Linked DNA regions of Xenopus tropicalis. The protein of the gene in region 2 interacts with the protein of the main gene of each other region in a biochemical or structural test. Links are inferred from orthologs where the notes say so. Each region holds a gene or a part of one and is shown on either strand. Other genes may lie near its edges.

The links.
Region 1: the proteins of magi2 (region 2) and rps6ka1 interact in a test that uses a peptide from one of them, tested with the Homo sapiens proteins (2 studies listed by BioGRID and IntAct, with this or other methods). The link is inferred for Xenopus tropicalis from reciprocal best matches to the Homo sapiens genes MAGI2 and RPS6KA1.
Region 3: the proteins of magi2 (region 2) and crhr1.2 form a complex in vitro, tested with the Homo sapiens proteins (2 studies listed by BioGRID and IntAct, with this or other methods). The link is inferred for Xenopus tropicalis from reciprocal best matches to the Homo sapiens genes MAGI2 and CRHR1.
Region 4: the proteins of magi2 (region 2) and pten form a complex in vitro, tested with the Homo sapiens proteins (2 studies listed by BioGRID and IntAct, with this or other methods). The link is inferred for Xenopus tropicalis from reciprocal best matches to the Homo sapiens genes MAGI2 and PTEN.

Annotation. Positions count from the first base shown.
Region 1 is NC_030678.2:77,585,403-77,589,425, reverse strand, and holds the start of rps6ka1 (ribosomal protein S6 kinase alpha-1), read right to left. Parts: upstream 2,840-4,023; 5' UTR 2,561-2,839; coding exon of another isoform or gene 2,512-2,560; coding exon 2,498-2,511; intron 1-2,497. UniProt on the Homo sapiens protein: Serine/threonine-protein kinase that acts downstream of ERK (MAPK1/ERK2 and MAPK3/ERK1) signaling and mediates mitogenic and stress-induced activation of the transcription factors CREB1, ETV1/ER81 and NR4A1/NUR77, regulates translation through RPS6 and EIF4B phosphorylation, and mediates cellular proliferation, survival, and differentiation by modulating mTOR signaling and repressing pro-apoptotic function of BAD and DAPK1.
Region 2 is NC_030679.2:78,531,099-78,534,666, forward strand, and holds part of magi2 (membrane-associated guanylate kinase, WW and PDZ domain-containing protein 2), read right to left. Parts: intron 963-3,568; coding exon 321-962; intron 1-320. UniProt on the Homo sapiens protein: Seems to act as a scaffold molecule at synaptic junctions by assembling neurotransmitter receptors and cell adhesion proteins. Plays a role in nerve growth factor (NGF)-induced recruitment of RAPGEF2 to late endosomes and neurite outgrowth.
Region 3 is NC_030686.2:16,385,338-16,388,905, forward strand, and holds part of crhr1.2 (corticotropin-releasing factor receptor 1), read left to right. Parts: intron 1-116; coding exon 117-189; intron 190-1,328; coding exon 1,329-1,414; intron 1,415-3,153; coding exon 3,154-3,289; intron 3,290-3,568.
Region 4 is NC_030683.2:12,950,772-12,954,339, forward strand, and holds part of pten (phosphatidylinositol 3,4,5-trisphosphate 3-phosphatase and dual-specificity protein phosphatase PTEN), read right to left. Parts: intron 2,673-3,568; coding exon 2,628-2,672; intron 2,154-2,627; coding exon 2,110-2,153; intron 1,003-2,109; coding exon 767-1,002; intron 149-766; coding exon 7-148; intron 1-6. UniProt on the Homo sapiens protein: Dual-specificity protein phosphatase, dephosphorylating tyrosine-, serine- and threonine-phosphorylated proteins.

The DNA.
Region 1 (4,023 bases), on a different chromosome or scaffold from region 2:
TACCTCCTTACCTACCGATTCAGCCCTGAATGGTGTGTGGCGGATCTTACGATGTTTCGTGCGACCGATGGTCGTACGAAACATCGTCAGATCGCCACGTGTATGGCCACCTTAAATCATGGAACAACAAAGTTGGTGAACAGGGTGCTATGCTACGTATATACATCCATAATGAAGTAAACCTGGTTTTTAGTATTGCTCTTAATTTTGACACCCTTAGAAATTATGCAGAAGTATAATATGAGGTAAACCTTTTTCCCCTTCAGGTGACCTAACTGAAGGAAGAAGTGTTTTAATTTTGACTGTCAGTAATCAGGAAATGTTTATACACGCAGTGCCTCAAACATAAGAACTAAAGTGCAGTTGCCAACTGCAACCAATCATGTCTCTTTCTAACAGTAGTGGACTGTTGAAATCTAATTGCTGATTGCACACAAAACACCACAAACACAAACAGTATTTGAGATGCATTAATTTTCTCTGACAGTCAAAGCTATTAAAGCAGATAGGTATTAATGGCAATTTGCTTTTTTGTAATGTGTGCGTGGTTCATAGTTTGTTCTTTTTATAGCTAGGAGACATACTTTCTTTATCATGCTGAACTGGGTGCGCCTGCGGAGCGATATCTTTTTTTCCATGTTTAGCTAATCCTCCCCCTTGATTTCATTTAACCAGTGTATAGTGTAAACCTTTGTGCACCACTGCCGTTAGCAATGCAATACCTTCTAGTTCTGCACCAGCAAAATCAACACACAGCACCCTGAAATGTTAAAATTTACTCTCTGCCCTTTGCTTTAATAAAGAAAGTGTAATATAATGTGGGGTGTTTTAATTATTGTGGTCTAGTGGAAAGAATCCACTTCAGCATATACACCAAATATATATTTATAAAAGGGAATGGCTAGCGAGTTGCCTAGATAGTGCTTCTACATTTAAGTACTTTCTTAACTGAACAAGCTCAACTATTGAAATAGTATATAAAGGTGTAGGATCCCTTTTCCGGAAACCCGTTATCCAGAAAGTTCCAAATTACGGAAAGGACATCTCCCATAGACTCCATTATAAGCAAATAATTCTAATTTTTAAAAACAATTTCCTTTTTCTCTGTAATTATAAAACAGTACCTTGTACTTGATCTCAACTAAGATATAATTACGGTAATACTTACTGGAGGCAAAACAATCCTATTGGGTTTTAATGACGTTTAAATTATTTCTTAAGGTCCCCATACACGGGCCAACTATAGCTGCCGATATCGGTCCCTTGGACCGATTCGGCAGCTAATCGGCCCGTGTATGGGGAGAGCCGAGCAGCCTGGCCGACCGATATCTGGCCTGAAATTGGCCAGATCTCGATCGGGCAGGTTAGAAAATCCGGTCGGATCGGGGACCACATCGGCTCGTTGATGCGGTCCCCGATCCGACTGCCCCATTGCCGCCCACATAATCCGATCGTTTGGCCCCAGGGCCAAACGATCGGATTATTTTTTTTTTTACCTAAAGGCTCCCCGATATCGCCCACCCGTAGGTGGGGATATTGGGGGAAGATCCGCTCGCTTGGCGACATCGCCAAGCGAGCGGATCTGCTCGTGTATGGCCACCTTTAGTAGACTTAAGGTATGGAGATCCAAATTACAGAAAGATCCCTTATCCGGAATGCCCCAGGTCCCCAGCATTCTTGATAACAGGTTCAATACCCGAACCTGCATTCCAAATATTTTAGATGTGCTAATCTTTAATTCAGTTGGGATCTTTTTTTTTTTTTTTTTTTTTTTTTTGAAGCATTAAGGAAATTTAGTTCATGTTCAAGTCACACTGTGTTCTAAGGCACACAAGATCTTACAAAATGAATATTGTATTAAAAAGGGATTTATTGCAATATAGTTATTGAAATAAAAGCTCTCAATCTCTCAAAACATAATTAATGAACACAAATGTCAATGTATAGGAGGACATCAACCTGCGTTCTACAGCTGCTTGCTAACTACAGTCGAACTGTGGGGGACGGCTGGAACTGCAGATTCAGCAACAGGTGGATTGCTACAGAATACAGTTCCACATTAAATATATACCAAGATCAGTCAATGGCTGTTGATCAGCGGCTTCAACAGCAGGAGGGATGTGCGACCTGTGACCACAAGTTCTGCAGTAGGGAAACATAAGATGTGCAGCCTCTAATTGAATTCCGCGGTGGGGGGCTCAGAAATAGTAAATATACACCACCTCTGAAAGAAGTGCATGACTGAAATTGTGACGAATATCGGCAGCCCATAAAGAGCTGAAGGCCATCAGGTAACACGCACAGTCTTTCTCTTATGAAGAGACGCAAGAGAATGCGGCAGCAACACATACACACGAACCCATGCTATTCTAAAAGACCTATTCTAACCGTAAGTAGCTTTGATTGGTTGTAATCAGAAAACACTGCTACCTCCCCCCCTCCAACATTTTCTGACTGCTTCAGCTTCGAAACCTCGTCCGCAACTGACAGTTCTCACCTCCGTCTCCTCATGAACCACCTCCACCTCGGGCCAAAGATCCACTAGTTGTGCCAGCGGCATCTTCAACGCGTTCTCTCAGGTGCTACACAACGTAAAGCAGGGACACCGCTGCGCACCCTGCACGGCTTGAAACGCAAAATAATTAAATACGAAGATTCCAGCTTTCAGTCACTGTTTAAGTTACTATCGACAATTATTTATGATACGTAGGGTCTGCGTAGTCCAGGTCCTTTTTTTCCGCTATAACGCCTGCACCTCTCGCACTTAGTCTACACTACTCGGTGTCCGGCGACAGACTGACCGCTTGACTCCTCCTAACTCACTGACAGAAGGGCACGTGCCGCCCTGCCCGCCTACTATTGGCTCCTCCCGGTTTCTAAGCTGTCAATTGGCCCCTTGTTCAGAAAAGGCGGTGTTTCTGGTACTAACCCATTCCGCATTCCCTCAGGTGAATCTTTGCTTTTACTACTCCGAAGATTTAAGCGGGAAAGAATGGGCAACGTTTCGCTAAGTGCGCCATCTTGTGGCATGAGGCGTAAGAATAGTACGGTTCTGAGTGAGACAATCGCTTTTATATCTTGTACAACACTTAGGGGTACATTTACTAAGACACGAATCTGAACCGAATTGGAAAAATTCCGACTTGAAAACGAACATTTTGCGACTTTTTCGTATTTTTTGCGATTTTTTCAGCGTCTTCACGACTTTTCGGAAATTGTCGCGACTTTTTCGTTACCAATACGATTTGCGCGAAAAAACGCGAGTTTTTCGTAGCCATTCCGAAAGTTGCGCAAAATCGCCCGATTTTTTCGTAGCGTTAAAGCTTGCGCGAAAAGTTGCGCAACTTTTAACGCTACGAAAAATGGCCAGATTTTGCGCAACTTTCGGAATGGCTACGAAAAACTTGCGTTTTTTTCGCACAAATCGTATTAGTAACGAAAAAGTCGCGACATTTTTCCGAAAAAATCGCAAAATACCGATCATTACGAAAAAAATGCAATTGGACGCATTCGGCCCGTTCGTGGCTTAGTAAATGTGCCCCTTAGGGGCCGTTCATTAAACCACGCTTTTTTTTTTTTTTTTTGAGAAAAAAAAAAATCAAAATTTTTGTAATGCCCACGATAATTTCGTTAAAATTCCACAACTTTTTCGTGGGTTTAGTTAACTTCCACAAAAAGTCATATTTTTCACAAAGACTACAACCATTTCGGAATTCATTCAAGCTTTGGTATCGTGACTTTCTTTTGGCCAGGTTGGATCTGTAGAGTGCCGTTGAGTCCTAAGGAAGACTTCCAAAATCATATGTAGCCCACTTTAGCTGGCAGTGCTGCTACTGGTGCCCTCTTGGCTTACTTCTGGCGCAGAAGTCGTGAGCCCCCACTTACTATGGGGGTAACAGGGAGTCTTCACTGTTAATGGCATGCCTCCACCCAGGGGTGATGTGGGACTATAACTCCCACCCTGGGACTTGATATTACACTGTAACCTTTGTCAGGGACTCCACACAACTCCTGGCTCCTTGC
Region 2 (3,568 bases):
GCCCAGGAGCAGTAATCCTTAGCAATCAATCAGCAGGAAGCATTTACTGGTCATCTGCTTAAAAGCAAATAGGTTATTGGTTGCTATGGCTTACTGCTCCTGGGCATCTATCTCTCAGCTGCATGGGAAACAAATACTGGAAGAGTAAATCATTCTGTGGGGCAATATATCTAGATTTCTTTATAACATACAGTGAAACCTATTTTTAAATCAATACAAGTAGCAGTAATAGCTCTCAGTGTGACACAGGCTGCTTATCCCTTTCTTAAAAAGAGTAAAACCTGCAGTTCTCTGTAGGAATAAAACAATCATTTACTTACCTCCTCTCTGGATCACCAAAGAAGTCTCATTTCCAACAGGACATTCTTTAAGTAACTCCACAACTTCTAAGTGGTTCAAATTCTGTACATTCTGCTGGTTGATCTCAACTATAAGGTCCCCTTCAAACAAACCAGGGCATCCCTGAACATCTAAAATCTGCTTCACTCGCTGTCCTGTTGGACTGTCTGCTATTGTGAAGCCAAAGCCCTGTGCCCCTTTCACAATGGTTAAGGTCATAAGTTCTGCTTGTGTGGCTCCAGAAGAAGCCATTGATACATTATCATCATGTGTAGGTGGAGGCGGTGGAAATGTATTTTCAAGCGGACTGTCTGTTGGAACAGAGTGCAAAGAAGGCAATGGTCGTTCTGCTACATCTGGTACTGATTGTGACGTCCTAGAAATGTATTCCAAATAAGTTTCATAGTTATTTCTTCCATTTACAACCACTGGCGGCCTTTCAATGACTGCTAAAGGTGATACCAAGTTGTTTGCAGAATCTTCTGGGTCGTAGGGTAGGGGATATCCTCGACATAGCACCAAGTTGACACTTTGCCCAATGGGAACAGACTGGAAAATTTTGACCACATCCGCATGTGTGTACCCAAGCACACACGCTTCATTTATATAGACAATTACATCACCTACGACAAAAATGAAACAATTACATTAACACAAATGTTATTGATATATAGTGACACAGCTAAATATTTTATGAGATTCATTATTTATGTGAAAACTAAGCTATGTAAGAGTGTCTCATAAATGAAATCTAAACCCCAAAAATAAACTGATGTAAACTTTTCTAAGCACTTTTGCAACTTACATGCACTCTGAATAACTTTATAGCAATTAAACCCTTCATGAGAACATTTATAACAATATGACACCTCATGTGTAGTTTGTTCATGGTGAAATCAGTGGCGTAACTAGCAGGGGAAGCCTGGTATGGGATCTATTACCTGGAATGCTCCTGTGCTGGGGGTTTCCAGATAAGGAGTCTTTCCATAATTTGGAGCAACATTCTTTAGGTCTACTGAAAATATTTAATATTAATAACTGATAGGATTGTTTTGCAACAATAAGAATAGTATGCTTAAACTGCATTCCTATCTCAAAGCTATCTGGAAAATAGGTTTTCAGGTAATTGATCCCATAACTGAACCCAATAGCTTAAATTATCATGCAATAAATATTTCAAGGGCTGGCAATGTCAAAATCGGCTAAAATATGCAAATGCAACTTTCAAATCATGATTACCAAAACAAATGATCTCCTCCTGAGGAAGCCATTACTAAGAATTTAATTTGGTCATATTAAGCAATTAAATTCTGAGATATGAAAATATGCCTTGGGGTGCCCAATAAGAGCCGCAATACAATGTTCACAAGCTGAATAAATCTACAACCAAAGCACTGCAGTGTGCTTGAACCAAATCCAACAAATGGAACTGTTAGGCAAAGTTGCATACCTCCCAACATTTGAAAAATGGAAAGAGGGACAAAAAGAAATGTTGCGTGTAATGCAGCAAATTTTTTTTTACCTCGCCCCCTAAATACCACTCCCATTTTACTAAATTTATTTAAACTTTAAGCACATTTCTGGGGGTTTTGGGGTCATTTCATGTGTTATTACAGTTTTGCTAATGAAGGTGAAATTGCCCTTTAAGCTGCAAGTCTTAGTTCCCCCAAGAGACCTGTTTAGCTTATTAGTTACAATTGTTTCTAAGTGCAGGTGTAGCTTGTTAACTTTCTGGGCTCTCTGCCAAAAGCTACTTATTTAATTAAGCCTGAGAAACAATGTAACCGAAAATATGCGCAATGCACTCCTACCTGTGCCTGCACTGGAGTGAATGGAATACAATCGGGTGCAGGCACATGTAGCCGAAATACGCATAAAAAAACAAGACTTTGCATTCTCTCACCTTTTTATGCAGATATTGGCTACATGTGCCTGCGCCCGAGCGTATTCCATTCATTTGGGTGCAGGCACAGGTAGGAGGTGTATGGCTGTATTTTCGGCAAGCGATTTTCGGCTTGCCGAGAATATACGCCATACGCTGAGTGTGGCATCAGCCAGAGTGCAGGTATAGCTTGTTAAGATTTCTGAGCTCTCTGCCAAAAGCTACTTTTTAACTGAGTTTGTATCATTTAGGGTTCAGTGCAGGAGATCAAAGAGAAGTGAGGGACTTTTTCAGTAAGAATCCGGGACTATGGGTTGAGCTGTTAAAAGAGGGACTGACTAACGAAAATCGGGACACTTGGGAGGTATGAATAAACCCATGCAGCCATCCTCAAAATTATGGGGGTCAACCTAATTTTTCTGTTTGGTCAGCCAAAACAATTATTTCTGGACCCCACACATGGACCAATTATAACATATTTTGGTCAGCATTGACTCACAATCCTGTTTTTAAAAATCCTGGTGTATTTTTTTTATTTTGCTAAACTAAATCTTTTTGCCAACTAAACCCTGGCAAGGTTTTTATCTGTAGCTAAAACATGCTTAGGTAATGCAAAGCAGGATTGTGGTAAAAACACTGACTCACAATTTATGTTATTAATTTACATTATGACAATCTTAGAAGCATCATAAATCAGCCCCTTAATATTTTAGCTTGAAAATATGAACTTAAAAAGAGATGCTGACACCAGAATATAAACCTTTTTCACCTCATAACACTGTCTTTGCACGCTATTTAAAATTTTGCCTTGAAAGTATTTGTCCAATGCTTTTTACATGTTACTTATCTGATCCCCCATGTTCCTCTATTAGGGGGCTGCCATATTTGTGCAACAGGAGTGTGTTAGCATTAGAAGCTCTAACTGACAGGCTGAGAAGGGACAGTCAGGCTGGCAAAACAGGATTAGTAACAATTACTTACTTAGCAGAGCTATTAACAAAAAAAATGATCAAAATGACCATAACTAGATGTAGTTTTTTTTTTAGCATCGGTATCACTTTAAAAAAAAAAAAAAAGTGCACCGGTGTATGGTGTGCATAGAGGATGGACACATGATCTTGTGCCATAGACTTCACTGCCTTTGTATGGCATAATAGATTAAATTAGTCTGAATTACAATTCATAAGGTTATTTTCAAGTGATATAGATCACAGCACAAGCTGAAGTACAAAACAGCAGTTCTCCAGCTTTAGTGTATATTTATGTGAAAGCACAACACCATATAATTCTGTTTCAGAAAACCAATATAGCTGTTAGGGTACTATTATTGAGCTGAGTAATCTAAAA
Region 3 (3,568 bases), on a different chromosome or scaffold from region 2:
TAGTAAGAAAGAAGGAAAGAAACTCAAAAGAGATAAGAACGTAATAAAGGATGTAAGGAAGAAGTGGGAAAGCCATAGGAAAGACGCCAAAAGTAACATGTGTTTATCTTGCCTAGGTGCTGGTTTGGTAAGAAAGCAGGAGTCTACACAGATTTTATCTACCAGGGACCGGTTATCCTTGTACTGCTGGTAAGAACATGCTTCAACTAGCGCTGGCTATTGTGTGGGTTTGTGCTCTTGGGTATGTAGGGTAAGTGGGTGCCCATACTGCTTTATTAAAAAGGAGAAAGAAACAAGGTGGCATTCTAAATAATAATCATCAGCAGCAAAATGTATGCCTCTATATGTTGGTAGGTCATTTTTCTGGAACACTCCCTTGCTGGTGATATCATATCTTCTTGCCAACTTCTACTTCTAACTACTTCTTCCTTTGTTAGCTAAAACAACATGGTGGGAAGCAAGAGTCTCCAGTCCTTGTCAGTGGATCTAGACAACAAAAAACAAGCAGGAGATTCAGAAGCAAAGGGAATTCAATCTGTCTGGCTTATTGATTGCCTATAAGGAAGCATTCACACTTGTGATTGGCTAGTCTGTAGGTGTGCTTAATTAGAATTAGTCTGGAAGATAAAGGGATACTAAAATGTAAAATATAACTTAAAACTTAAGTCAATATATCCAAGTCTAAATTCAGTTGACTTTTCCTGCATTAAAGTTCATGTATCCTCTGACAAATGTAAAGCTGTCACTGTACTGTAATCATACATTTAACAGGCTTTCTTAAAACTGGGTTTAAGCTCCCCTTCAGATTGACTTGTTGGGGTCCAAGTTTTCATTAAAGAATAATTAAATGTAAGCAGGAGCTGTAATGTAATTTGCAGGTACATAACAGGATTTTACAATTGATTTATGACGTTATGATATGGCAGACCAGGGATTTGGGCAAATCAGCCACACACAAGGATCAGTGAGTAAGGTAGATGAATGGAGACAATTTTTGCTCAGAAAGCGATCAAGATAATCTGCATACAAGAGGAAAGTCTTGTCAATGCCAATTTGTCTTAGTGTTAGATCAGGGGAACATTTCTTATCTATTTATATTATTGCCAGTTTTTCAAGATTATAAGCATTTGTGTTTGGAGCAAACGTTTCCAGACTGCCTGGGTTGAGCCCCCTCTTTCTAGACTTTAGGAACCCCGTAAGTTACGTTGTTATCAGGGCCCGACAAATGCCCAAAGACCAGAAGGTGAGAAACCTTTATCACTGCATCATGTTTGTGCTTACATAGGTCATAGTTAAATATCTTACTGATTTATTCCCTTTGCTTTCAGATCAACTTTATATTTTTATTCAACATAGTGCGGATTCTGATGACAAAGCTCCGAGCTTCCACCACTTCAGAGACCATACAGTACAGGTAGGGAAGTGGCAGGTATCCCATCACCATTTGCTCTCACTCCATGCACATTCCCTTCTCCGCATTTGTCCTTTGGCTCTCATTGCTGTCACCCTGATTTGCCTCCTTTCTTCTTAAGATGTTTCTTGGTTCTCATCCCAATTTCTGCCATCACTCCCTTGAACGTGTCCCTTATCCTTACCCACCGTATGTAATCTCCTTCTTCACATGCTTTCATTGTGTTAAATTAAAAAGCGCTGTAACTGAAGGACATGTCCCTTTCTGTCTCAAGGAGCCGCCAAAGCACCCATATGCTATACCAGCCTATATATATAATAGTGCCACCAGCTTTCCCATTCCCATAAACTAGAGAGGAAAATACTGTATCTGAGTACATCTGTGTACTGTGTAGAAATGTCATTTTATGTGTAGGTTCATGTAAGACTTATTGTGTGTAAAGCATACATACCTCCACGAAGGAATTCTTCCCAGCAACAGAACAGCACCTGTAGTCTAGGACCACCTAGGAGACCAAGTCCCATCTCATTATATTCACCCACACACGAAAGTCTTTTGCAAATTAAACATAACATCCAAATTCTTTCTTTAATTTAAACATCCATTCTATTAAAGTAAAGTTTATTTTGCAGGTCCCCTTAATTCTAATTTTGTGCTATTTTTTCAAGGTGAAAAGACAGATTTTAGCATACTGTAGCTACAATTAGATGGATGGGAGAATAATAACGCTTATGTACTCGTTCTCTTTGGAAAATGTTGCTCAAAGCACTTTGACAGAGCTGCCATCATGCGCCATTGTATAAGGAACTGAATTGTTGTGCAATCAGCCTGAAAGCCAACAGTGCACTCTAAGCAGGCAACCGATTTTTCCAATTCTACCATATTTTTAGCAGAAAATAAAGTACTAAACAATGGCCTTATAGGAAAAAGGGATATTTGTGCTGTTATTTTATTTATTCTTGAAAATTTTTGAACATTCTGAACATTTTCTTCCTCCCAGCAAACTGCGTACCTGGCACAACGGGGCATCTGCAAGCGGAGAAAGCTCCCTGTCTGTATGATGAGCGGCATACAAACTCACAGGTTCTTGTCTTGCTTGAAGATACCCTGTTGTGCCAGATATTGATTCCATATCTATTTGAGAGGGTGCCAACCCTCCAGACTGAGCGCTGGTTTACTGGGTAGAAGTGGTGCGGCTTTGCTGGCGATCCTTAAACTACATAGGTGCCATTTACCCTGAATTTGCTAGGACAGTTTTGGCAAGCAGACCCCAAAGTGGCTGTGTCTTTCTCAATGGTGGGTAGGGTTTGGGTGGACTGGAGTACCATCTACTGTTTAAGAAAGTTAGGTTTCCCCTGACTTTGTCCCTTCCCAGGGCTTTAACTTGGGCAGAGGAAACTGTATGTTTATTTCAGTATGCTCACACTATTTCTCACCCGCTACCATGTAAGCTGGTCTGTGTTCACAACTTACTGTTCCTGACAGGTGTGGTTCTACTATTGGTAGGTAGGCAGATTTCTACTCTTGCCTTGGTGCCACAGCCCCTTGGCCCAGGTCAAGGGCAGGCACTCAGAGCAATATTTTAAAATAGAATAAAATATTTTATTCAAAACATCCTATGGAAAGCCTTACACACATTTGCTACTGTAGACACATGCTGACCTCCCAGTGCCATACATGCAATTAAATGCCTACATATAAATGAAAGGGTTCATGTAATATTCTTGTTTGCAATCTTTTAGGAAAGCAGTTAAAGCCACCCTGGTGCTCCTGCCTTTGCTTGGGATCACCTACATGCTTTTCTTTGTGACGCCTGGGGAGGATGAAATTTCACGTGTAGTCTTTATCTACTTCAACTCTTTCCTGCAGTCCTTTCAGGTGAGTGGAGTCTGGGGACAGACATAAGTTAGGATTTGGGTGGGACCCTGGGTGGCAGTCATTCCCATATATTCAAGCTGCTGCCATGAAGCCACCCAGCTGTAAATATGAGCATGGGTGTTTTATGTTGGATAACAAGGAGAAGACTAATTGGGCTTTAGTAGGGATTATTCTCATTGGAGAACCCTCTTGCACCTCTATTGTATCTAGAGTTGGGTACATAGGTACAAACTGCATAGGTGCCATTTAGTGGGAATGTTTAGGTCCCATTTAAAGGTC
Region 4 (3,568 bases), on a different chromosome or scaffold from region 2:
ACTTACTGCATGTTGAGCCACTGAACATTGGAATAGTTTCAAATTCAATCTTGTGAAAGAGCAGGGGCACCGGTCTGTATTCCAGGTTATTTTTTAACAAGTAGCTATAGTAATATACATAGCGCCTTTGGCTGGGAATTGTAACTCCCTAGAAAGAGAAAGATAAGGTGAGCTTGGAATGTCTGAGCTCGGCATTAAATGGTTAAAGCTGGTCATACATTTTGCGATTTGCTCATATGGCAAGGTCATTAAAGAGCGGCCGATATGGCCACCTACGTACTGGGTCGAATCAGGCTGATCCGATTGTTGGACAGGAGGCCATGGATGACATCAAAAACCCATTGGACAAGGACTAAGCAATTGGATGCTGCCTTTGGCCAATAGGATTTTCAGTCATATGAAATAGTTATCTGGACTGTTGCTTTAAGAGATCTTTATATAAGGGACTAATATTTACCACAGTACAGCTCAATGTGGCCATCATTTTAGCTTAACATGTATCACCTCCATTTAAAAAGCAGCTCTGCAGCCAATGCTTCGGCCAATAAGTCAGTTTGTGCCAGAGGTTAAAGTTCCCCATTAGGAAATAAAACATTAACTGGACAGGCAAGCTGGTGAAAGGCTTGTAGCAATATTTAATCTACTCATGGAATGACACCGTGCATACGGCTCAGACATGACATTCGGGCAGTTTTTAGGATTAAAGCAAACAGACGACGAAAGTGTTTCTAGATTAGGTAACAAGACATTAACCCTTCAGACGTACCTTTTTATCTCTGGTCCGCACTTCTCCATAAAAATCTAGGGCTTCTTGTGCTCTAGGAAATTTGCCTCTGTGTAGCAAATAGGCACAAATCATAACCCCCGTCCGGCCCTTGCCGGCTTTACAATGTATAGCTGCTACGTTCTCATTTTCACTTAACCACTGGTCAAGATCTTCACAGAAAGGTTTGATTAGCTCTAGCTGTGGTGGGTTGTGGTCTTCAAACGGATACTGTGCAACTGTGGATTAAAGACATGGCAAATTCATTTTATACATTTATAAAATTCTTCAAGTAAAGGATGACTGTAAAAGGAGCTGGGGAAACTTAGCCATATATTCCTATATCCCAAGTGAAGGTCTGAAGGTCACAAATATGGGGTCTCAAATGCCCCCTCTTATATTAATATGCATTATTTTAGTAGGCGCAACCATATGCACCCGCAGGTCCCACTCCAACTCTGAAAGTGGGTTCTAACACAACAGGAAGGTTATGGAAGTATTCCTGCATCCAATCACTTTTACACATAATGGCTAAATAGACAGACTGCAAGCATTAAAGCCAGTGTCCCCTTCATCTTAAAGATTAAATTTGTGATTTGTAATAGAGGTTCCAGGAGGTGATTGACTGGCTAGGCTGGTAAAATACTGGCCAGATGGCAACCCTATATCCCTGACATAATTAGTAGATTTGCCCAAAGTTGCCCATTCACATCCCCTACAGCCAGTGTGCTTACCAATGCCTGGGTGTCTAAAGTCTTTTAGTTCACACGACCTACAAATTCCAGCTCTCAAATGTTTTTAAAAGCTGCTGCTGGAAGTATCAGTTCTCAACAGCAGGAAAGCAAAATGATCGACTCCCCAGTCAGCGGCAATCCTGGGGCTACTGCCGCCTAAGGCAGCAAACCTGATGCTGCCCCCAAAATGCAGCTTCTAACCCAAAACTGTTTAGTTATATTTTCAAATTGGAGCATTATAATAAATGGCTGCCTATCAATCTGAGGAACCAAGTACTAGTATTTATTTTTAGCAGGTCACATAGTGTTTATACACCTATTTTCACAGAAGCCCAACTGAATGAGCTTGTGACAAAAGGCGGTTAGATCTTTTCCTCTTTAAGAGAGGCACTGATGTGATTCCTGCAATTCCTTCGGCCTATGAAAAGCCAGAATGTCCACAGGGGAATGTTCTGCCCCATAATTCACCCCATCAAGCTGCAGAAGAGAGCTGCAAGCAGGAACTCAAGTGTCAAGATCTCTTCCAAAACATATCAGTCAATCGTCAACTCACACATGGTTACCGAAATATATATTTCAGCGTGAACGCTTATAACCGAGGTCTGAACTCACCTCTGCAGCTAAATTTGTTGGTATCATAATGTCTCTCCGCACATCTGCAAAGGCAAAAGAACTGAAGTTAGAGAAGCAATAGATACTGCAATACCCTGCAACAATATATACACACACATTATATATATATATTGCATTTACATTAATTTCAGCAACTTCAATCCACCTGTGATTTTGTGTGAGCTTTCTCCAAGAGTCTGCAAGTCAATTACATTATCTGTACCTTCTATTTCTATTCAGTGCACAGTAACAGGCCATAGCATGGGCCCCATTCCAAGCCATTTAAAAGGAGATCAAGTAACATGGCAGCCTTCCAAAATTCCATTTAACCTCATCACTCCACTAGCACAACAGAGCTAAGAGAACTCTCCATTAGAGCCCTCAAACTAATTGTTTCAGGCACACAAGTGTGTAAGACAATACCTTGTTCTCTTGCTCTGCAGACATGAAAAGCACTATACTTTCTTTTGCTAAGGTTTTTTTTATTGTTTTATCCATAATAAACACAGAATACTTACAAGTTGTAGATCTTGTAATGATTTTTATGCTTTGAATCCAGAAACCTGGCAGAGGGAAAAAAAAAGAATTAGAATCTTGAATGTATTCAAGGTGCGATTCACAAGTACACGCAGAATAAAACAGAGAAAGTCTATTTCTGTCAACTATTCTACCCATTCTAATGAACACAAATCAGTTAAAATACTGGCGCTGGGAAGCTGGACCGGAGTGAAGCACCAAAAGGTGAAGCTGCATTTGGTGGAGTTATCAAACAGTTAATGTCAAAGGGAAACAGTTAATGACAGGGAAATCAACAGTTCATCTATATGGAATGAGAGCTAAACTAGTCATGCACAGGGAACTTCACCTAGTACATTGCCTGTATATGGACAAAAATAAATGCCACAATTGATACCCAATTACCCTCATTTAAACATTAAATTGGCCAGGCAGAGTATAAGCCAAGGACTGCAACTGCATCAGACGTAGATTCAGCGCTATGTCAAACAGTCTATACAGGACCCTGTGGGTCCAACTGCAAATACTAAAAGTAAAGAAATAATATAATGGCGTTACAGCCTTGTTCCTTTATATGGTCACATAACCTCTCAGTGACTGCTAATATCCTTATCATTTACAGTAGGGGGTACATTATCCCTTATAATACATGAGTGATACTCAGAGTTCCCTGTATAACTCAGCCTGCAGCCTTGTGCCTTTATATGGGCACAGAACCCCTCAGTGACTGCTAATATCCTTATCATTTACAGTAGGGGGTACATTATCCCTTATAATACATGAGTGATACTCAGAGTTCCCTGTATAACTCAGCCTGCAGCCTTGTGCCTTTATATGGGGGGCACAGAACCCCTCAGTGACTAATATTCTTATAATTTACACTGCTTAGCGGTATCACTTGTAACATGACCGACAATTGTGCATTACAATTAATGTACTCTGT